4 linked regions of the Arabidopsis thaliana genome follow. The protein of the gene in region 1 purifies or fractionates together with the protein of each later gene. This does not show direct contact. Each region holds a gene or a part of one and is shown in the gene's direction. Other genes may lie near its edges. The genes, in order: PEX7, AT3G03960, DL1 and AT1G24510.

Region 1 (3,940 bases):
TTATTATAGTTTATTGGTGCTAAGAATGTGAACCAAAGTGATTAGTTAGCAAGTAATAACCTTATTGCACACTATAATACTTTCTTATATTTCTTCTAGTATGGTTACGTTTTAGTGTTAAACTAAAAGAACTGACAAAAAGAAAAAAATTAGATATAGCCATTAGTTATAACTTATAGCTCATGATGTCACATATGTATCATGTGGCTTACATTTGTTCAATTATCCCAGAGATAGTGATTTGTTATCCATAAGCCATATCACTAACCTTTTTTATGGACAGATTCCAAGTCTTCAAAATAAAATTTCAACTACATGTATTACTCTACATAATAAGGTTGGAAGCTGATTTATGCAACGAAGCCATCTTTTTTATACTTCCTACGATCTTTAAATAAAAATGCTCAGAGGTACAGAGGACACAATCCAAGGTGAAATAAAAAAGTGAACCAAAAATTAACGAAATAGAAGTGTCTTAAAATTAAGCAGATAGAGATAGGGAACGAAGAAATAAGATCGTTGAACAGAAAAAACTTGAAACAATCTAGTTTTGCTCTTGGGCTTCTGCAGCCTCCTTCTCTTCATTAGCTGCAGCCATTAGTTCATCAAACTTCTCAGACTTGGCAAGCGTGATCTCAATCTACAAGTCACAGTGTCACCAATTTAGCAACCAACATAGCAATTTCCCAGAGAACAAAAATCATTAGACGGAAGCTAGAATTCCACAGCATAAGCAATTTATCAAATGATTCGAAAATATATACCTTAGCTTTCTGCACAGGACGACCCCTTGAATCATCCTTGATATCCACAGTCGATGTCATGATCTCTGCAGGAAAAAACAATATCCAAATAAGCAAAACTTAGTCACTGAATCTTTCAAATCTCTTGTGCTAACATTAACTCATTCAAGATTAAGAAGATCTTACTCTTTTCAACAGCAAAGCCATTGTTCTTCAATATCTCAGCGACCGTAACAACAGTGGCAATAGCTGCACAACGCACAAATCAATGTTTTATGAGAAACCAGAATAAACTCTTCCAATAAAGAAAGCTCGGATAAGATATTACAAAATCACAGAAGATAAAAGATTCTATGTCATAACAATAAAAGGAAACAGCTTTTCTGATAATAACTTTGAATTTAATGAACTCAGTTACATAGTTTAAAAACCATACATATTAGATTTGATATATAAACAAGATCATAAAGAATAAACATTACCCATTCCTAGTGCAGACAATTCGACATCAGTGTACTGCTGCATGTACCTCTGTTAACAAAACACCAAACATGGTCAATAACATAAACAGGTTTAATCAAATCTAAAGAGCAAAACAAAGTTCACAAATCTAAGGAACAAACATTGATAAAGAGTCACATAAACAACACAGAACCACCAGTAATAACTCATCAAAGTCAATAACAGATAAATTAACACTCATGAACAATCACAGACATTTCCAGACTTGGTACTCAAATAAGAACACTTCGAATCCATAGATTTCAATCTAAATACGAATTTATTAAGATTCGATTAAAAGGGTTTCGTTACCTTGGCGAGATTGACGTAGAAGAACAATGGTTTCTTAGTGTTGGAAACTTGAATCCGATTCTTCTTCTGGGTATCAACAGCCAAGTTCATGTTGTTAACTCCTTCCGTGATCTCTTCCATTGAATCTAACTCAGAAAAATTAAAACTTCTCCTCTCGAATTTAGATTTCTCTCTCACTTTTATCTCAGAAAACGAATGAAATTGAAGAGACAGAGAGACGACGATGAAGCTTGAACCAAACCCCCAAAAAACCCTAACTTGAAATGCCAAACGACATCGTTTTAACACAACCTACACAAATGGGCTAGGCTCCAGCCCAATAGGCCCAATTGGGGGGAAAATTAATTCTGCGATGAGCAAAATCGGCGTTATCCGATCAGATCGTTGAATTGAATCTTCGAGAAGACTCTTCTTTTGATTCAATCACTCACCGGAGAAGAAGAAGAAGCTATGCCGGTGTTCAAAGCTCCGTTCAATGGCTACTCTGTGAAATTCAGTCCATTCTACGAGTCACGCCTCGCCGTCGCTACAGCTCAGAACTTCGGAATTCTCGGAAACGGCCGAATCCATGTCCTCGAGCTCGCTCCTGGAGCTCCAGGCGTAACTGAATCCGTCTCGTACGATACAGCCGACGCTGTATACGACGTATGTTGGTCAGAATCTCATGACTCTGTGCTCATCGCCGCAATTGGTGACGGCTCAGTGAAGATTTACGACACAGCTCTTCCTCCTCCTTCTAATCCGATTAGATCATTCCAAGAGCACGCGCGTGAGGTTCAATCTGTGGATTACAATCCCACGCGGCGCGATTCGTTTCTCACTTCTTCGTGGGATGATACGGTTAAGCTTTGGGCTATGGATCGTCCGGCGAGTGTAAGGACTTTTAAGGAACATGCTTATTGCGTTTATCAAGCAGTTTGGAATCCTAAACATGGTGATGTGTTTGCTTCTGCTTCTGGAGATTGTACTTTAAGGATTTGGGATGTTAGAGAACCTGGATCAACTATGATCATCCCTGCTCATGATTTTGAGATTTTGTCTTGTGATTGGAATAAGTATGATGATTGTATTTTAGCTACTTCTTCAGTGGATAAGACAGTTAAGGTTTGGGATGTTAGGAGTTATAGAGTTCCTTTGGCTGTGCTTAATGGTCATGGATATGCGGTGAGGAAGGTGAAATTCTCGCCGCATAGGAGGAGTTTGATAGCTTCTTGCTCTTATGATATGAGTGTTTGTCTTTGGGACTATATGGTGGAAGATGCTTTGGTTGGTAGGTATGATCATCATACAGAGTTTGCTGTTGGGATCGATATGAGTGTTCTTGTTGAAGGTTTAATGGCGAGTACTGGTTGGGATGAGCTTGTTTATGTTTGGCAGCAAGGGATGGATCCTAGAGCCAGTTGATTCATAAGTAAGTTTGTGATTGCAAAACAGTTTCATCTTTATTTGTTGTGGAATTGGTTTGGTTTTTGTTAAAGGAATGTAGTTGGAATAAAGTTGGGATCTTGCTTAAGAAGAAATGTAAGTTACTGAGAGTTTCACATATGAACAAGGTTATCTTTCGAATTGTGATTGATGGTAATAGTAGATAGATTGCTTATGTTCTAGTGTATATGTTAACCTGTTACAATGAGACCTGATTAACATATATATTAGGACTAAGATATATGTTAATCTTCTATAATGTCCAAAGTAATGACATAATATATATAAAGTCAATTACTTTAGGGTAATGTACCTTTTATAGTATACTGTAGAATTCGAATTTTGTTCTTTTTCATAGTTGATTGACTTTATTGAGTGGCATAAATGTACATATTTATAACTTTCTAGAGCATATTGCAGTTTCGAGCTTTTGCATTTTATGCGTCTTCAGGTAGAAGCTTATTAAAATCACAAGAACATTCTTACGGATCTTCCATTTCAAGAATCACTTTCTACTTATTACTTTACTATTATACCACTCTCTTTTTTATCTTATTCCATAGTATTAAAGATTCTTTTATTTTCTTATGATTTTTTTTTTAATATAGTACTCCGATCCCAAACAAAAGATCTCAAAACACATTTTGTCAAGTCACAAGACTCACAACCGTCTCAACTTTTGGACTAAATTCAAATCAGACAAATAATTGGGTTAAACATATGAAAGGGCTTGACATTATATCATATAGTATTAAAGTGAACTATAATATTGCTTTATCCACGAGGTCAAGAACATACTATATGTAATAGACACACATTAGTATTGACTTTTTATGTTAAAACTAGAGATTAAATTTTGTGAATTTAAATGACACATGTACGATCTTTTACTTTTGTTGTGATGCACGCGGAAGATGTTGCGAAGGATTAGAAATTGTTAAAAGAGAAGAAGGTGGTAG
Region 2 (6,135 bases), on another chromosome or scaffold:
ATTGGTTCATACCCGTGGGGTTACATCCCAGCAAACTATCCTTCTGGTGGCTACCCTGATCCGAGGTTTGGTTATGACCGCAACAGCAATCACAGTTCCTTTTCACATCTCATGGTATGTTGGTTACTTCACATGACCTCTCTGCCTCTTTTCTGTCTTCATATAGTCAAGAGAATGTGTGTTTTGTTCTCTTCGTCATCTCTGCTGGGACTTGGGATTTTTTTTTTGTCTAATTACTGGCTACAACTGTTTTATTTAACAGAATCCACACAGCTCACAAGAAGTACCAAGTTTTGACCAATTGGGATATAATGATCATTTGTATTCCAACCATGGATTGTATGGACTTTACGGGAATGTAATTGACTCTGGTCATGCATATGGAACTTTTGGTTATGATTCCTGGAAACTTGGGCGAGGATGGTATCCCGTTGATGGTTATAGAAAGACCAGAAGCTTCAATCATGGGCGTGGTTACAGTGATGAGAAAGCAGATAGGCTTAATGAGCTATGTCGAGGACCAAGGAGTAGTGATTTCAAGAATCCACAAGTTCTTAACTCTTCAATGCTAGATGCAATGAAGCAAGACGTTTCAGCAGTAGATCTCCAGCGCTACAATGGGGAGAATTTCCCTGAATCATTTGTGAAAGCAAAATTCTTTGTGATCAAGTCATACAGCGAAGATGATGTTCATAACTGTATTAAGTATGGTGCATGGTCGAGCACACCAACTGGCAACAAGAAGTTGAATGCTGCATATTATGAAGCCAAAGAAAACTCCCAAGAATGCCCTGTGTATCTTCTGTTCTCGGTCAGTATGAGGTTACTTCACGTCTTGTGCAATATCCTTTCAGATTTACATTAAGTAACTCACTGTAATCGGTTTTATCTACAGGTGAATGCAAGTGGGCAATTTGTTGGTCTTGCGGAGATGGTAGGCCCTGTTGATTTCAACAAGACAATGGAGTATTGGCAGCAAGATAAATGGATTGGTTGTTTCCCTGTGAAGTGGCATATCATCAAAGACATACCAAACAGTCTCTTAAGACACATTACCCTGGCGAATAACGAGAACAAGCCTGTCACTAATAGCAGAGACACTCAAGAGGTCCGTTGAACTTCCCCTAAACCCTTTCTTGGACATGTTTGAAGCCTAATTGAATTCTAATAAATAATGATTATGGCTGTTAGTCAGGCTTTTAAACTGTACGGTGATGGTTTTGGTACAGGTGAATCTGGAGCATGGGACCAAGATCATAAAGATCTTCAAGGAGTATATGAGCAAGACATGTATACTTGATGATTACAAGTTCTATGAGACAAGGCAGAAGATCATCAGAGACAAGAAGATCAAGCAAAAGAAACAGGTACAATTCCTTAAACCCTGCTGCATCTAAAGCACATTAACCACCCCTCTTGATACAGTCTCTGGGATTGTTTCATTTTGATTGTTTTGTTATATTAGGCCCTTGATGGAGCTTCGGGGGAAACAATTAACTTGAGTTGAAAGATGGAATCAATGCAAGGAAAGAAGAAGATGACTTAATTAAAAGAACTTAGTTTTGAATTATGTTTTTTCTTCAGGGTTGGGATTTCTAAAAACCTAATACACATCTTTAATCTGTGTGTTTTCTCTGCTTATCTAAACAAAACTTACATTGTCTTTTGTTCCTCTTAAGGGGACGCACATCTGATAAAACAAAAACTCAGGCTTTCCTTCAAAGTTCATATCATGTTATTTTCAAGTTATTTCTCTTTTAGTCCCTAAACTTTCATATAATAAGACTCTCATCCGTAAATGTCAAAAATCTCACATTTTGGCCCACATCACCATAAAAGTTAAAACGACACCGTTTAGCACAAAAACCAGAAGGAATGGTGTTCTCTATTCGTCCCTAAACTTTCATATAATACAACTTTCACCCCTAAAGATTTAAGATCTCAATTTTTGGCCCCCATCCCCTTAAAATTTAAAACGACACCGTTGTGAACTCCCATTTTAAAACCTCGAAAGTTTTCTAGGGCAATCTCGGCCACTTTTACTCACAGAAAACCTTCTCTCTAAACTTCTTCGAAAATCTCACAGAGCTTCTTCTTCTTCGCTTTTAGGGTTTTTGCTCTATTGTTTCGAGTGACCCAACTTCGAAGCTTATAGATCGTTACCTTAGAAAATGGTGGGTATGTCGATGCAGCCATATGGTATTCAATCGATGCTTAAAGAAGGTTACAGGCATCTCTCTGGTCTCGACGAAGCCGTCATTAAGAACATTGAAGCTTGCAAGGAGCTCTCCACCATTACTCGCACCTCTCTCGGTCCCAATGGTTCGTAATGTTTCTCTGATTGGGATTTGATCTAATACTGAAATGATGAATCTCGTTTTCTCCGTTTCGTTTTACTTTTACTTGAGTGTTGTAAGTAGGATCTCGCTTGTGTATAGTTTAAGCAAGCTTGATCTGTTACTGTAAAGGTGAAGTCTTTTTCTAGGGATTCAGATTCGGATTAGAACTGAGTTCTTCTGTTTATAATGTTTCAGGAATGAATAAAATGGTTATCAATCATTTGGACAAACTGTTTGTCACAAATGACGCTGCTACTATAGTGAATGAGCTCGAGATTCAGCACCCGGCTGCTAAACTTCTGGTTTTAGCTGCTAAGGCTCAGCAAGAAGAAATCGGAGATGGAGCTAATCTGACAATCTCCTTTGCTGGTGAACTTCTTCAAAACGCTGAGGAGCTTATCAGGATGGGACTTCATCCGAGTGAGATCATTAGTGGATATACTAAAGCTGTCAGCAAGGTTGGTGAATACCTGAATTACTGTTTTGTGCTTTTCAATTTGTTTGTCTTGAGTATTTGACGAATGCTATTGGATTTTGATTATGCAGGCTGTTGAAATACTGGAACAACTGGTTGAGACTGGTTCTGAGACCATGGATGTACGTAACAAGGATGAAGTTATTTCTCGGATGAGAGCAGCTGTTGCAAGCAAGCAGTTTGGGCAAGAGGAAATAATTTGCTCTTTAGTTACTGACGTAAGATATTCCTTGCTATCTATTTGTTTCCTGTTTCGTTGTTCAGATTGTTATTTATTCAAGTTTATTGCAGATTTAGATTTTACTTGATGGGTTCATATTATTTCTAGGCATGTATTCAAGTCTGCCCAAAGAATCCAACGAATTTCAATGTGGATAATGTTCGTGTTTCCAAGCTTTTGGGAGGAGGCTTGCACAATTCTTGCATAGTCCGTGGTATGGTCTTGAAAAGTGATGCTGTTGGTAGCATTAAGCGAATGGAGAAAGCGAAGGTGAGATCTCTTTCTTTTGTTTATGCTTTTGACAAAGTTTTTTTTGTCTGAATTGATCAATGTTTGGGTCCCCTATGAAATATAGCTTTGTGGGTTTGTCTTTTCTGTTTTTGATAGCTTAATGTCTCTAAATCAATTTGTTATGCTTTCTTCAGGTTGCTGTATTTGCTGGTGGCGTTGATACCACTGCAACAGAGACCAAAGGAACTGTCCTCATTCATAGTGCTGAGCAGGTTAGATTTGTTACTGTCTTTCTAAAATTTCAAAATTACGATTATGGCTTCCTCAAAGATGGTTGTGTATTTGTAATCGTTATTGTGACAAATTTCTCTTTTTATATTGGATTTGTAGCTAGAGAACTATGCAAAGACAGAGGAAGCTAAAGTTGAGGAGTTGATTAAAGCAGTTGCGGAATCAGGAGCCAAAGTCATTGTTAGTGGAGGATCAATTGGAGAAATGGCATTGCATTTCTGTGAGCGCTACAAGTATGTGTAGACCATATCATGTTATACTCGTCTTAGCTATTGTTATTGTCTGCATTCTGATACCCCATTTTTTCTTGGCAGGATAATGGTATTGAAAATCAGCTCAAAGTTTGAACTGAGGCGTTTTTGCCGTACAGCGGGGGCTGTCGCCCATGTAAGTGTTATTAATTGGCTATCTGAATGAGTATCTAAGGGTGGTTTTATCCTAGCTTTTAATCCTTTAATTATCAAACAGTTGAAGCTTAGCCGGCCAAGCCCTGAAGATCTTGGATATGTTGATTCTATATCGGTTGAGGAAATTGGTGGTGTGACAGTAAGTACTCCGAAGTCAATTCCAATATTTTTGGTTAATTATTTTTGTCTTTCATTAATCATAGACAATTCTCGGTCTTCTTTTAGGTCACGATTGCAAGAAACGAGGAAGGTGGTAACTCCATCTCCACTGTGGTCTTGCGTGGAAGCACAGATAGCATTTTGGACGACCTTGAGAGAGCTGTTGATGATGGAGTTAACACATACAAGGTAATATCTAGCTTCATTTGTACCATCTATATCGTATAATTCATTAATTTGTGACTGTTATTACTTCAATTTTATTTTCAGGCCATGTGCAGAGACAGCCGTATTGTTCCCGGGGCTGCAGCGACTGAAATAGAGTTGGCTCAAAGGTTGAAGGAATACGCCAATGCAGAAATAGGGTAACTTTCTTTTACTTCATTTTTTCAAAAATTAAACATGTGAGGCTAGCTTTTAAAGCAAAACTGTCTATGGTTTGGGGACTGAACTTAGGATTCGCTTTTGAAATTTCAGGTTGGACAAATATGCCATCACCAAATACGCTGAGAGTTTTGAGTTTGTACCCAAGACCCTTGCAGATAATGCTGGCCTCAATGCGATGGAAATCATAGCCGCTCTGTACACTGGACATGGATCTGGAAACACAAAACTAGGCATTGACTTAGAGGAAGGTGCTTGTAAAGATGTTTCAGAGACAAAAGTATGGGATCTTTTTGCAACCAAGTAAGTTTCAGACTGTCTTTTTGCCATCAAATATTTCTATCAGACGTCTCTATACTTGCTTAGCAGTTGTTCTTGAACATATAAAAACTGGAGTAGAATTTTCTGACTGGTTACAAAGATTACCATTCACTTTAATTGATAACTAAGACGCTTAAGTCTCTGTGCAGGTTATTTGCCCTTAAATATGCTTCAGATGCTGCATGCACTGTACTTCGTGTAGACCAGGTATGCACAAACTGACTTGATTTAATCTTTGGTGAACGGAGCAATTTTTTATTATATTGTAAAGTGTTGATTCATCACATGAAGTAAAAAGATATTGTTCGGTGAATGCATTATCTTCCAGGATTAAGTCCCTTGTTCGTGAAAACTCTTAGATTCAATATTCAGTTCCACTGATTGATCTCATCTACTAAAACATGCATGTTTATACTCAAAATTTATGTAAAATGTGCAGATTATAATGGCGAAACCAGCAGGTGGACCAAGGAGAGATGCAGCTCAAGCTGCAGGTGCTGGTGCGGAGGAAGACTAAGCCGGAGAACAAATACCTCGTAGTGAAACTCTCTTCTTTTGTAACCTTCTGTTCCTGAAAGTCTGAGAAAATTTTGGTATGTCTCAGTTTAAGATTTGTGATCTTTGTAACGCACCACCAACTTAAGTGTTTTGCCTTCTTTTTCTGTTTTGCCTTGTTTTGGCTCGTCTCAACACTCAGATTTTCCGGTTTAGCTAGTGAAATTATTACTAGGATTTTTGGCTTAACTCTGTATTAATGTCAATTTGGTTTCTATTTGAATCGACTTTTGAACAAGTGACAAAATCATTCGGGGAAAAGAAAATGATCCACACATTGACAAAAGAACAAGAGAACCTAACTAGAAATTGAACCTATGTAAATATGTCTGGTTAACAGTTGTTTCGACTTTTGAACAAGTGACAAATTCATTAGGAAAAAGAAAACAAACAAACTAGTATTTGAACATGATCCACACATTGACAAAAGAACAAGAGAACTAAGCTAGAATTTGAACCTATGTAAGTTCTAAGCTTTTTAATGTTCATCCCTTAGACTTTTTAAGTCGGAACAAGATGAGGAGGCATCATATCATCCTGGAGATACATCCACATGAAAGAAGCAAACCCTGCAACTGCAATAGAGAAGACACTCAATCCCAATTTTAACACACCCTTGCTCCGTCCCAGACGTGGGTCTAGTTCAGTCTCCACTGTCTTAAGTTTGGCCTCAGAATCCAAATCTGTTTTTGGTTTCTCACAGATATCTTCTGTTGTGTTGGTTGGAGTTGTAGTACCAGAGGTATCATATAT
Region 3 (7,244 bases), on another chromosome or scaffold:
GTCAAGCTCAAGACGACCGCTGTGAGTGAAACCGAATTCGTCTAAAGGGATGATTGGACGATCATCGGATCGGATCTCTGATTTACGAATCTCAGCCGAAGCTATGGAGATGGAGATCAAGAGAAGGATAAGGATCGATGAGAAGCGTGAAGAGAGATCCATGGGAACTAGGGTTTCGTTCTTCGACTTCACAGAGAGATTAATCTGATCTCAGATGTGAGATCCAAAGCAAAATCAATCCAACTTGTTCTTCTTCCGATGAAAACGGTTGTGTGTGACCAACCAAATTAAATTAGTCTTTTTTTTCTTTCTAAGAAACAAAATAAATACCATTATTTTATTAGCAACAAGAGAACCCATTTTCCTTCATCATTAAGGGAATAAACCATCTTTGACGGATTAGTTGATTTCTAGAAACAAAAATTTCACCAATTCACCGATTCCAACCGAATGGCCGGCGTTTCCAGTGTATTTGAAGGAGTTGTAGAGTGATAGGGAAGAATTCATAAATTTCTCTTTATCTTTAATTTCTCGTAGTGCAAATGTAAAAGCGGATAAGTTGGCACGAAAGATTCGTACCGTACCGCATCATGTCACGTATGTAAACAATATCTCTCGGGATTGGATCTTTTGAGTTCAAATTTATATCGGTTGACAAAAAAAAAAAAAAAAAAAAAAGGAAGAAATTAAAGTATTGATGAATTTCGTTTTGAATTGGTCGGAAATTGGATGTATAAGTTGAGAACAAATTATCCATCAATTTAAATCATAAAATGTTTTTCCGAATGACTTTTTTTTGGAGATGTATTATTTCTAAATGTTTTTACGGTTTCTTTAGATCTCGTTCAGATTGTATCAACAAGCGCGAAACCTTCATTAAACATAAATGGTATACAAAGAAAGCTTAAATACTAAACCGGAGAGATATTATCTATTTATAATAGATTGGTTTGACTGTTTGAGTGTCTATGGTCTAACTCTTGTCCTCTCTACACAACCCGACACTAAACCAACATCTTCCACTCACATATGACGAAAAACATCAGAAAGTAGTAGAAGAGTACTCTTAGAGATTTTGTTCAAGAATCGCAATTCGAAAAAGTTACACTGCAAATAAACCGTGTGACCCGTGCAAGTATATGTGCTTTTGGAAGCTAAATTCATGCAGCTGCTACGGAGACATACAGTCTACATACCTAAATATATTACATAGCATGTCTCACTCCAACCTCATTTGTATTTCATATTAGTCTCAACATATTCCCATAAAGCATATGTTAAACCTATTTTACATCACGTTTTCACTAACTTCAAAATTCTAATTTGAGGGATAGAAGTTGGTCACATGATACATATTTGTTAACGTATGAACATCATAAAATCTAACAATTGATACAAGAGTATGTAGGATACAAAGTTACACGTTGTGTTTGTCTCAAACAACATTAGTAACATTTTTTAAAAAAATTGTGTAGACAAACACAACATTAGTAACATTTAAAAAAAAAAATGTGAACCGGTTTATTTTTTCACCACTTAGCTGGAAAATAAATAACGTGTATTTGCGTAAACAATACATAAGGTTTAAAAATGTGTTAGTGCTATGTTTTATACATTTCTAAAAAGCGTTTGGATCTCACCAACCAAACATAGTATTTGCCAAAATGCAAACGCTATCTAAAATCGATGTGACATTACTAGTCAGATTTAGTGGGTTTGTTCTAGAAAAGATCTTTATTTTATACATTCAAATTTTCAAAACTACAGTTATTTTGTTGTTTAGTGTCATCCTTTTGAATAAACAATCATAATCCTTAACGTCTCTTATCTTTTTTTTGAATCCTCAATCTATGGACCGTTTGAACTGCAATCGTAATGAGGATGTTCGTGGTCCACATGAAATCACTTTACTCTACTAATAAGTGATAGTTTTTTTATTCGAATTTTAACTCGTTACATTCTTTTACAAGAAAATCGACCTTGTTATATTTATTTATATGGTTGGTCATGCATGCAATAGTATTATCATTACTTTACCTGGTTAGAGAGATGTGGAATATTAAGGGATTGGTTGAATATATACGACACACCTCGTCGTTTTTATTTTGTTTTTGGTCAACTCCTCGTCGTCTTTGAATTCTCGAAATAAACACCATGCCGTTTCAAATTTTCTTTGGAAAAGAAAAGACCCTGTATTGGCTTTTATATAAACCGCTTTCTTCCCCTTTACTTTTTCCCAACACTAGCAAGCAAAAATTCTTCATCGACTCAAATTCAAAAACTCATCTCTCTCTATCTCTATTTCTCTGGTTCCATAGCTCACCGTCGCATCGCAGATCTACTCCTTCCGCAATAAATTTTACCGGCGGAGGTATCAGATCTCGCCGATCTGTTGTAGCAGCTACTGTATTTTGGGCTTCTCATTTGATATTGGGGAAACGAGGAGTAGAGGACGATGGAAAATCTGATCTCTCTGGTTAACAAGATACAGAGAGCTTGCACGGCTTTAGGAGACCATGGAGACTCCAGCGCTTTACCTACTCTTTGGGATTCCTTGCCTGCGATCGCCGTCGTTGGTGGTCAGGTTTGCATCTCGATCTCCTTCCCCTTCCATTATATGCTTGACGATCTATCTCACGATTCGTTCGTTTTTTTTGCGATTCGGAATTGATATTGAGCTGAGGTATTCGGATAAATTTGCCCTAAACTTCGTTGTTTTTGCTTATCAACATCCGGATCGTGAGGAATTATAGTTTAATAGCTTCTACTATGAACTAGCTTTGCAAGCAATTGGTATTGAGGAATGTTGACTTGGCTTTGACTTGGATATTTTTTCACTAGTTGGTCTTGAACCATTTAATTTAAGCTACGATTGTTGTGGAGAGGGGTTTCTGTACTTTGATAATTCTATGTGGCATTAAGTTTATGTTGTATCCTTATTGTGTTGACAGAGCTCAGGGAAGTCTTCAGTCCTGGAGAGCATCGTGGGAAAGGACTTTTTACCCCGTGGATCTGGTAAATACAGTGTTAACACTTCTTACTTAGTTTTAATTATGAAATTGCTTATTTCCTTGAGTAATGACAATATGCATTTGCGGTAACTATTTGTAGGCATTGTTACTCGAAGGCCCCTTGTCTTACAGTTGCAAAAGATCGATGATGGAACCCGGGAGTATGCAGAGTTTCTTCACCTCCCGAGGAAAAAGTTTACTGATTTTGGTGGGTTTCGGCTATCTCAATTTGCAGTTCAAGTTTCACCTTCTCCTGTATTCCATTGATATTTGATTAATTTAATCACCTCTATAGCTGCTGTGAGGAAGGAGATTCAAGATGAGACTGACAGAGAGACTGGACGCAGCAAGGCTATTTCTAGTGTTCCCATTCACCTTAGCATATACTCTCCCAATGGTAAGGACAACCCAAAATCTCTTTCCAGTTGTATGTGCTTTTTGTTCATTCTCTAATTTTTTATCCTCTTTACTATGTGTGCAGTTGTCAACTTGACACTGATAGATCTTCCAGGGCTTACAAAAGTTGCTGTTGGTAAGTTACAGTAGAGCAAGAAGTTTTGGTCTATTTTTTCTAGCGATGAAGCATGAGGCAATAGACTTTATTCTCTACCATACATAATTTGGCATGACACGACAAATTTCTTTTGGTTGATGCAGATGGACAATCTGATAGTATAGTGAAGGACATTGAAAACATGGTTCGGTCCTACATTGAAAAGGTAAATGAAAATGCTTACTCCCAGACCCTTTAATGTTTTATAGATAGCTATCGCCAGTTTAAATTAGATTCGGTAATATATAAGTATTCTCCCTATATTTGTTATGTTTTCGTAGCGCCAAATGAGTTGACACTATTCTGTTTTTTTTTTTATTTAATTAAATTTCCTTATAGCCCAACTGCATCATTTTGGCAATCTCACCTGCAAACCAAGATCTTGCTACCTCAGATGCAATTAAAATTTCCCGTGAGGTTGATCCATCGGGTGAGCATTTTACAAACAATTCATTTTTCCACCTAAGAGACCCAACACATTATTCTGTCATCCTATGTCTCTTATAATCTTGGTGATCTTCACAGGGGACAGAACATTTGGTGTCTTGACAAAGATTGATCTTATGGACAAGGGGACGGATGCAGTGGAAGTAAGTTGAATTCCCAGTTTATAGAACATCTGTACTAGAATTTCGAATTACTGTGAATAAAATGTGTTGTAATTAGTCTATGATATGATGTTGGAGCTATAAAATGCTAATTTGTGTAGTAACATCATAATACTTATGTTCCCTCATTAATGTTTATTGCGTGCACCGCTACTTACCAAATGATATTTTTTGCTCAGATTCTGGAAGGGAGATCTTTTAAACTTAAATATCCGTGGGTTGGTGTCGTCAACCGTTCCCAAGCAGATATTAACAAGAATGTCGACATGATTGCGGCTCGGAAAAGAGAGAGGGAGTACTTTTCCAATACTACTGAGTATAGGCACCTTGCTAATAAAATGGGTTCCGAGCATTTGGCAAAGATGCTCTCCAAGGTACGTGCTTTCACGAGGCTAGGGGTAGTTTTCTTCACCAGGTTCTTTATAATAAGTAAGTTGGCGTTGTGAAATTTGTTAGGAGTGGTAAATAAGAGTTTCAGGGCCAGTGTTTTCACGATTGCTGCTAATTTTCTTAGCAGCCGACAGAAAATACTAAGAAACTACGAAGTTATGGCAATGCTTAGCACGTTTCTCTGTATAAAACCATCAGGACAGAGCCTAATTGCAACAATTTTATTTGTTGCGCAGCATCTAGAACGTGTGATCAAGTCGAGAATTCCTGGCATTCAGTCACTTATTAACAAAACAGTATTAGAGCTGGAAACTGAACTAAGTCGCCTTGGAAAGCCTATTGCAGCTGATGCAGGGGTAAATTGTGTATTCTTTTATTTTTGATTGAATTGCGCTATCAAGATTTACTTAATGTTCTGATGCAGGGGAAGTTGTACTCAATAATGGAGATATGTCGGCTTTTTGATCAAATATTCAAAGAGCATCTTGATGGAGTGTACGTTTTGACTCTTTTTACTTCAAATGTTTAAGATTACACCATGAGTTGTTATAGCGTCTGAGTTGATATTTCTACTCTTGACCTTCTGAAACTACAAAAGGAAAATTGTAATTTAAGACTATGGTTGATTACACAGGCGTGCTGGTGGTGAAAAAGTGTACAACGTGTTTGATAACCAGCTTCCTGCGGCTCTGAAGAGACTCCAATTTGACAAGCAGCTAGCGATGGACAACATCCGGAAGCTGGTCACTGAGGCTGATGGTTACCAGCCTCACTTGATTGCTCCTGAGCAAGGTTACCGTCGTCTCATTGAGTCTTCTATTGTCTCCATCAGAGGCCCTGCTGAAGCATCTGTTGACACCGTATGAACTCTTTACTTTCATCTCTAAAAAGATGTATCAAAAACCTAACACAAAACAATAAGCTTCTCTCTCCGTTTTTTTTTTTTTCTATGGTTAAATATTAGGTTCATGCTATCTTAAAGGATCTGGTTCACAAGTCTGTGAATGAAACTGTGGTACGTTCTTTTTTCTTTTAGTAATATATATATATATATATATATCTCCAACAACTAGTACTTTTGTACAATGTTATAGACGGTTTGAACATGTGCAGGAACTAAAACAATACCCAGCTCTGAGAGTGGAGGTGACAAATGCGGCGATAGAGTCGCTGGATAAAATGCGGGAAGGAAGTAAGAAAGCAACACTGCAGCTGGTTGACATGGAGTGCAGTTACCTCACTGTTGATTTCTTCAGGAAACTTCCCCAGGATGTTGAGAAGGGTGGTAACCCCACACACTCCATTTTCGACCGCTACAACGATTCCTATCTCAGACGAATCGGTAAGGTTAACCCATATAAATAAATAATTATCTGGTACCGTATATCTCACAAATTTTAGACATTTGGCAACAGGATCCAATGTTTTGTCTTACGTGAACATGGTCTGTGCTGGCCTGCGGAATTCAATCCCCAAGTCCATCGTATACTGCCAAGTCCGAGAAGCGAAGCGCAGTCTCCTCGACCATTTCTTTGCGGAGCTCGGTACCATGGATGTAAGTGCTCTCTGCCTTTTTTCTTAACCTAAAGAAGTGTCATTCGGGTAAACACTGAGTCAACTAATATGGTGATATCCAACAGATGAAGAGGCTCTCGTCGCTATTGAACGAAGATCCAGCAATCATGGAGAGACGCAGTGCCATCTCAAAGCGGCTAGAATTGTATCGAGCAGCCCAATCCGAGATCGATGCTGTTGCTTGGTCCAAGTGATACCGGCATGTCATGTCCACTGTTTTGCTCGGTTCTGGTCGGTGTGGCTCAGACTCGGAGCAGAGATTTAGGGTCTGTAATTTGTATAAGATGATCTTCCCGATACCATGCAGTATCGTTTTATATAACATCCACATTGTTTGTCCTACCTCTATGTTTTTTGTCCATCACCCGATATGTTACGTATCGTTTTATAACATCCACATTGTTTGTCCTGCCTCTAATGTTTTTTGTCCATCACCCGATATGTTACGTATCTTTTATAACATCCACATAGATTAGATTTTCTCTATTCCCTTTATTTAATTACTATAAAATGTATTTTTCGCATATGATAATTTTTCTGTAACAATAGTATAATATTAAACATTCTACCCAAAAAAAGAGTATAATATTTAAATATGATTACCAATAAGAAAAAAATTCTAATAGTTTAAAATAAAAATTTGTAATGTACTCTTTTTTATTTTGTTTTGCGTTTCTGAATTTGTGGCCATTATCTTCTCACACTCTCTTCTCTTAGCTCACAGAGGAAAGAAAAATGGCGAATTCCATTTCATCAATATCTCTGCCTCGATGTTTCATCTTCAACAATGGTAGTCACAAATCAAGGCCATGGCCAAGCTCAAGCAGTTTCTTTCTCAACAAATCATCAAAGCATCATCCTCATCCACTACTCTCTCTTTCTTCTTCGCCGTCTTCCGTCGTAGAAACTGATAATGACGACGACAACGACCTCACTTTCAGGTACCCTTTTGCTTCTCTTCATCGATTCCATTGGAAAGCTTAAACCTTTCTCAGCTAATCCAATTTCGTTGACATTAAGGATTTTAGAGTTAGTGATAGATTAGGGATTGCGTAAATGATGAAATCATAGAGACTCTTTTCTGCTGTTAACTTGTTAGTGTTATAT
Region 4 (5,242 bases), 1.5 Mb from region 1:
CGTTGAACAATTTTTTTCTTTTCAAATAATAAATATCTGGACAGTCAGTGAATATGGAACTTTCTTTATCAAGTATGATATATGAATATGAGAATGATGCATTGATGCTTTGTATGGTTGGTTATTGATAGGAATACCCCAAATACGAAGTGGTATTTTGATAGATAAGACTAAAGAGATCCTAAAGAAAGAAAGAGATCGAAAAAGAAAAAGGAAAAAGAAAAAGAAAATAGGTATTATTAGTTGAGTTTAGGACCAAAAGTGCAACACACCAATACGAACCCGTATACACTACTACGCGTACGGCTCTTCCTTCACTCCTTGTATGGGTCCCTCGCTGAGCTTCTATAGTGGAAGCTCCCCAAACCCAACCATGAAATTGGCTCCTCATCACATTCACACCTTTAAAATTCCAATGTAATATATTTTCTTTCTCTGGAGACAAAACTTATTTTCAATCTAGTCTATTAGTTTGAGTTATTATTTGGAGTTTAAAAAATATGTCCTTTTCTTTTATTTGGTATTTCTATCCGAGAACACTTTGGCTGATTCTCTGGCAAAGGCTAGTCTTAAATCTTGTATCATCTCCTCTAGTGATAGAGAGTTTGAGTAATCTTAACGTCCCTAAATGCATAAATATATGCATTTTGATTAGGATATTTTTTTCTTGTTTTTTTTTTGTTTGCATTTTGATTAAGATTTATACACGATGGTTACAATTTTACTTAATTAATTATTATGGCTTTTGACCCCGAAATCGTATATTATTATATTCAATTCAGAATTTTGTATCTAAACACCGTTAGTGAAAAGTTTTTTTTTTCAGTATTATTACAAAGACAACGTTTCTCCTAACAAAGGAGAAACAAATTACAACAAGATCATCACAATCATCCTTACATATAAATAATCTTCGTTTAAAATAACCTTCTTATCATAAAACAATGCCCAACTTAGAGTAACAAGAAAGAACCAGCAATGGATGTAACACCAACGACGACCGCAGAGACGCCAAGAGCTGCCGCACCGCTTTTGGCAGAATCAGCAGAGCCTGTAGGCGCATTGTCGTACGAGGAGTCACTTCCTAGAGGACCAGCCACTGCAACGTCACCGTCACCAGGAGTAGGAGCTGCATCGTCATCGGTGGTTCCGATTTGGTCATCGGTGACTGGAGCCTCGACATGATCGGTTTTGGAGGCAGCTGGAGCTTTGGAGGGAGACGCTGAAGGAGATGGAGAGGAGGCAGCTGCGGCAAGGCCAATGATGGCCATGAAGACGAGGGCAACCACGACGACAATGTTTTGGCGACCCATTCTTCTCTCTCTCCTTCTTACGTAGAACTCGTTTAATTTATTTTAGGGTTTGAGGTTTATTGATTGTGATGATTTCCGAAGATGAGTTTGATATGTATATATAGTTGTGTTTTGTGATCAAGACCAAAAATAAAATAGAAAACGTTTGAACTAAGATGTAGGATTACCTTACAATCCAATGTAAATCTACTGGAGTACCTAAAAATGGACTTGTTCAGATATAGATTTTGATTGGTGAACATGCGAATGAATATGAAACCATTCGTTCAACTTCAAATCGTCGTATTAACGAGTGTCTTATTAAAGAACCAAATTATGATAGTATTGCCATGAACATTCTATTCATCTTATATCAGATGGGCTTTAAACCCATAAGCCCAAACGTCTTGTTAGGCCCATGAATCAATTCCGATTTACGATTCTGCCATCAACAGCGAGTTAGGGTTTTACACTCGACCACTTTAAGCTCTCAAATCTTCCAGACATTCTTCTTCTCGCTTTTTTCCCCATTTCAACTTTTTTTTTTCCTCTCCAGTGCACTAGGAAACAAAAAAAACCCAAGATCTATAGTTCGATCGGATCGAGAGAAGCTCGAAAATGGCGCTGGCGTTCGATGAGTTCGGGCGTCCGTTCATTATACTGAGAGAGCAAGATCAAAAGACTCGTCTTAGAGGAATCGATGCTCAGAAAGCCAATATCGCCGCTGGTAAAGCCGTGGCTCGGATCCTTCGATCCTCTCTTGGACCCAAAGGAATGGATAAGATGCTTCAAGGACCTGACGGAGACATCACCATCAGTTCGTTTCTTCCTTTTGATTTCTTCATATCTGCTTTTAAATTTCTAGTTTCGCTCTTGTTTACTTGGCATAGTGTTTACTATGTTGATGCCGTAGTTTGATGAATAGATCCATCTACTTTTTGAAAATCGATTCGCTATGTCTGTTAACTTAGCTCAGCTCTACTACTACTTGTATATTGTTTGTAACCTCGCCTTTGTTTTGCTTTTGCAGCAAACGATGGTGCTACGATATTGGAGCAAATGGATGTTGACAACCAGATTGCGAAACTAATGGTGGAACTGTCGCGGAGTCAGGATTATGAAATTGGTGATGGAACAACAGGTGTTGTTGTTATGGCTGGTGCACTTCTTGAGCAAGCTGAACGTCAGTTAGATAGAGGAATTCATCCCATTCGTATTGCTGAAGGATATGAGATGGCTTCTAGGGTGGCTGTTGAGCATTTGGAGCGTATTGCCCAAAAGTTTGAATTCGATGTTAATAATTATGAGCCTCTGGTTCAGACTTGCATGACTACTCTGTCCTCGAAGATGTAATGTTCCTTTTTGATATTCAGGCTACTTTTCAATAGTTGTTGCTTGTTTTTACTTGGTTTATAGTATACTGTCTTAACTCTTTCTTGCTCATTGTTACAGTGTGAATCGATGCAAGCGCAGCTTAGCTGAGATTGCTGTTAAAGCGGTTCTTGCTGTTGCTGATTTAGAGAGGAGGGATGTTAACTTAGATCTGATCAAAGTAGAGGGGAAAGTTGGGGGAAAGTTGGAGGACACTGAGCTTATTTATGGAATACTGATTGACAAAGATATGAGTCATCCGCAAATGCCAAAGCAGATTGAAGATGCCCACATTGCCATTTTGACTTGTCCCTTTGAGCCACCGAAGCCGAAGACTAAGCATAAGGTGGACATTGATACAGTGGAAAAGTTTGAGACATTGCGCAAGCAAGAGCAGCAATATTTCGATGAGATGGTACAAAAGTGCAAGGTAGGTTTTAATTTGTATTAATTTATATTGTCAGTTGGATGTTGAGTAAGCTACTGAAGAAATCCTTTTGACAATGGTCATTAGTACCACAATGCATTTTATGATATGATTTATGTATGACCCTTATGATTTTAACTTTGCAGGATGTTGGTGCTACGCTGGTTATTTGCCAATGGGGATTCGATGATGAGGCAAACCATCTATTGATGCACAGGAATTTGCCTGCTGTCAGATGGGTAGGGGGTGTTGAATTAGAACTTATCGCAATAGCCACAGGTAAGTAAAGTACTCTTAAGCATCTAATGCTAGTGTTTGTATCAGTTATGCAAAGCTGATCAGAAATTTTTCTTTTTGTAGGCGGTAGAATTGTTCCAAGATTCCAGGAGTTGACCCCAGAGAAGTTAGGGAAGGTATTTTTTTTACTTTCACTAGGTTTTGCTTGTAAAATGTTAATTAGATTTTAAACAGACCATTGAAACCCAACATTTCCTGATATATTTAGGCTGGCGTGGTTCGTGAGAAATCTTTTGGCACAACAAAAGAACGAATGCTGTATATTGAGCACTGTGCGAACTCAAAAGCTGTCACTGTTTTCATCCGTGGAGGTAATCGCCTTGTCTTTTGTACTTATTAGCACTTTAGCAGCACTGTTTTGACTTTTGAATAGCTGATGAGAGATAAACATCGATGTACTGAATCTAATGCCTTCTAAGTATATGGTGGACAACGATATTGTATAACTGATTGATCCAACGATTTGTTGCGGAATATGGTTTAGGTAACAAAATGATGATAGAAGAGACGAAACGTAGTATCCACGATGCTCTGTGTGTGGCTAGGAATCTCATCCGCAACAAATCAATTGTTTATGGAGGTGGGGCAGCTGAAATCGCTTGCTCACTTGCGGTTGATGCAGCTGCTGATAAATACCCTGGCGTGGAGCAGGTAAAATATGATCTTTCCTCTTTGATACCCTGAAATGAAATCATTTGTTTCTCAAATTGTAACTCTGAATACTAATCATGTATAAATACTTCCTCATTTACAGTATGCAATTAGGGCGTTTGCAGAAGCTTTGGACTCTGTCCCTATGGCTCTTGCAGAGAACAGTGGATTACAGCCCATTGAGACACTCTCTGCGGTTAAATCTCAGCAAATTAAGGTTAGTAAACGACGAACTTTATTATCTATATCATTGACTTGCTTGTTCGGTGACTGAACAAACATTGGGTTTTGATGAACAGGAGAATATTCCCTTCTATGGAATAGATTGCAATGACGTGGGAACAAACGATATGAGGGAGCAAAATGTGTTTGAAACATTGATCGGGAAACAGCAACAAATTTTGCTAGCTACGCAAGTCGTTAAGATGATTCTAAAGATCGACGATGTCATCTCCAATTCTGAATACTGATTTGTTGCTACCTTTGTCCTAACCTTTGGCTTCTTCGGTGTTTTTTGTTTGCTTTCTATTAGCTTTTGATACCCTTCGACATCGTTATCCTTGACTTGTTCCCTTTGTTTTGCAACCTTCTATTTAAGAACATCGTCAGATCTTAATTTTTGTGTGTACTTGTCCACAGATCGAAGCACTCGTTTGCATTTTCTTTTCGATTTAGTAACTGATGCAGGTCTCATACTGTAGACTAAACTATTATCGTATTAGTGTAACACCAGTGAACGAGGACAAAAGTAATTGTTTGCTTGTACATAAGAACATAAGAAATATGAAACCAAGCTTCGAAGGCTTCAAATACCCATCTGCTATGGTCTTTGTACACAAAATCTAAACCCTGAAGACTAATGTTTCCCACTCTTAAGATCTATAAACTTCGAAATCTGTTGCAGAGGGACTACAAGGCCTGAGTACCAAGATTTCTCCTCGTCTTATTCAAATCTCAATTCCTCTTTGTTTGTTTGGCTTCGCCTTAAGACATGAAAACATGAGTCTTTACCTCTTCTCTGTTTCATGAGAATGCTGTTGTTCTGTATCATGGCCAATGCCGAATGTCCCATTCGTAGTCTCGTCCTTTTGAATGGATGGCTTCCCATTCACAGCTACTGTGCCATCGGATGTTTCATCCACAGCAGAAAGTTCTGTTTTTTTATCATCTTCAGCGACAATGGCTGTATCAGATTTTTCATCTT

Evidence for each region.
Region 2: the proteins of PEX7 (region 1) and AT3G03960 purify together in Arabidopsis thaliana (affinity purification with western blotting, with the first as the bait; one study listed by BioGRID). This does not show direct contact.
Region 3: the proteins of PEX7 (region 1) and DL1 purify together in Arabidopsis thaliana (affinity purification with western blotting, with the first as the bait; one study listed by BioGRID). This does not show direct contact.
Region 4: the proteins of PEX7 (region 1) and AT1G24510 purify together in Arabidopsis thaliana (affinity purification with western blotting, with the first as the bait; one study listed by BioGRID). This does not show direct contact.

Annotation. Positions count from the first base shown.
Region 1 is NC_003070.9:10,222,917-10,226,856, forward strand, and holds PEX7 (peroxin 7), read left to right. Parts: upstream 1-1,898; 5' UTR 1,899-2,006; coding exon 2,007-2,960; 3' UTR 2,961-3,406; downstream 3,407-3,940. Other genes in the region: AT1G29250 (Alba DNA/RNA-binding protein), read right to left, coding at 545-640, 765-829, 930-992, 1,226-1,274, 1,557-1,676. UniProt on the Arabidopsis thaliana protein: Receptor required for the peroxisomal import of proteins containing a C-terminal PTS2-type peroxisomal targeting signal. Specifically binds to cargo proteins containing a PTS2 peroxisomal targeting signal in the cytosol.
Region 2 is NC_003074.8:1,022,261-1,028,395, forward strand, and holds AT3G03960 (TCP-1/cpn60 chaperonin family protein), read left to right. Parts: upstream 1-1,883; 5' UTR 1,884-2,171; coding exon 2,172-2,322; intron 2,323-2,534; coding exon 2,535-2,797; intron 2,798-2,885; coding exon 2,886-3,032; intron 3,033-3,142; coding exon 3,143-3,304; intron 3,305-3,459; coding exon 3,460-3,537; intron 3,538-3,655; coding exon 3,656-3,789; intron 3,790-3,870; coding exon 3,871-3,943; intron 3,944-4,024; coding exon 4,025-4,102; intron 4,103-4,188; coding exon 4,189-4,311; intron 4,312-4,392; coding exon 4,393-4,487; intron 4,488-4,599; coding exon 4,600-4,809; intron 4,810-4,976; coding exon 4,977-5,034; intron 5,035-5,266; coding exon 5,267-5,344; 3' UTR 5,345-5,631; downstream 5,632-6,135. Other genes in the region: ECT1 (evolutionarily conserved C-terminal region 1), read left to right, coding at 1-114, 263-811, 896-1,108, 1,230-1,367, 1,466-1,507; AT3G03970 (ARM repeat superfamily protein), read right to left, coding at 5,884-6,135. UniProt on the Arabidopsis thaliana protein: Molecular chaperone; assists the folding of proteins upon ATP hydrolysis. Known to play a role, in vitro, in the folding of actin and tubulin. Contributes to stem cell maintenance through its impact on transcription factors trafficking through plasmodesmata.
Region 3 is NC_003076.8:16,819,748-16,826,991, reverse strand, and holds DL1 (dynamin-like protein), read left to right. Parts: upstream 1-1,975; 5' UTR 1,976-2,455; coding exon 2,456-2,584; intron 2,585-2,951; coding exon 2,952-3,015; intron 3,016-3,111; coding exon 3,112-3,219; intron 3,220-3,306; coding exon 3,307-3,408; intron 3,409-3,492; coding exon 3,493-3,543; intron 3,544-3,668; coding exon 3,669-3,730; intron 3,731-3,903; coding exon 3,904-3,994; intron 3,995-4,089; coding exon 4,090-4,154; intron 4,155-4,351; coding exon 4,352-4,546; intron 4,547-4,798; coding exon 4,799-4,918; intron 4,919-4,986; coding exon 4,987-5,057; intron 5,058-5,196; coding exon 5,197-5,422; coding exon of another isoform or gene 5,423-5,428; exon of another isoform or gene 5,429-5,526; coding exon 5,527-5,577; intron 5,578-5,675; coding exon 5,676-5,904; intron 5,905-5,977; coding exon 5,978-6,117; intron 6,118-6,202; coding exon 6,203-6,331; 3' UTR 6,332-6,708; downstream 6,709-7,244. Other genes in the region: AT5G42090 (Lung seven transmembrane receptor family protein), read right to left, coding at 1-162; AT5G42070 (uncharacterized protein), read left to right, coding at 6,873-7,078. UniProt on the Arabidopsis thaliana protein: Microtubule-associated force-producing protein that is targeted to at the leading edges of the forming cell plate during cytokinesis.
Region 4 is NC_003070.9:8,684,770-8,690,011, reverse strand, and holds AT1G24510 (TCP-1/cpn60 chaperonin family protein), read left to right. Parts: upstream 1-1,765; 5' UTR 1,766-1,910; coding exon 1,911-2,109; exon of another isoform or gene 2,110-2,209; coding exon of another isoform or gene 2,210-2,249; exon of another isoform or gene 2,250-2,322; coding exon 2,323-2,641; intron 2,642-2,744; coding exon 2,745-3,093; intron 3,094-3,236; coding exon 3,237-3,369; intron 3,370-3,450; coding exon 3,451-3,503; intron 3,504-3,595; coding exon 3,596-3,698; intron 3,699-3,871; coding exon 3,872-4,038; intron 4,039-4,141; coding exon 4,142-4,255; intron 4,256-4,337; coding exon 4,338-4,508; 3' UTR 4,509-4,741; downstream 4,742-5,242. Other genes in the region: BCP1 (homolog of Brassica campestris pollen protein 1), read right to left, coding at 954-1,313; ALB4 (OxaA/YidC-like membrane insertion protein), read right to left, coding at 5,046-5,242. UniProt on the Arabidopsis thaliana protein: Molecular chaperone; assists the folding of proteins upon ATP hydrolysis. Known to play a role, in vitro, in the folding of actin and tubulin.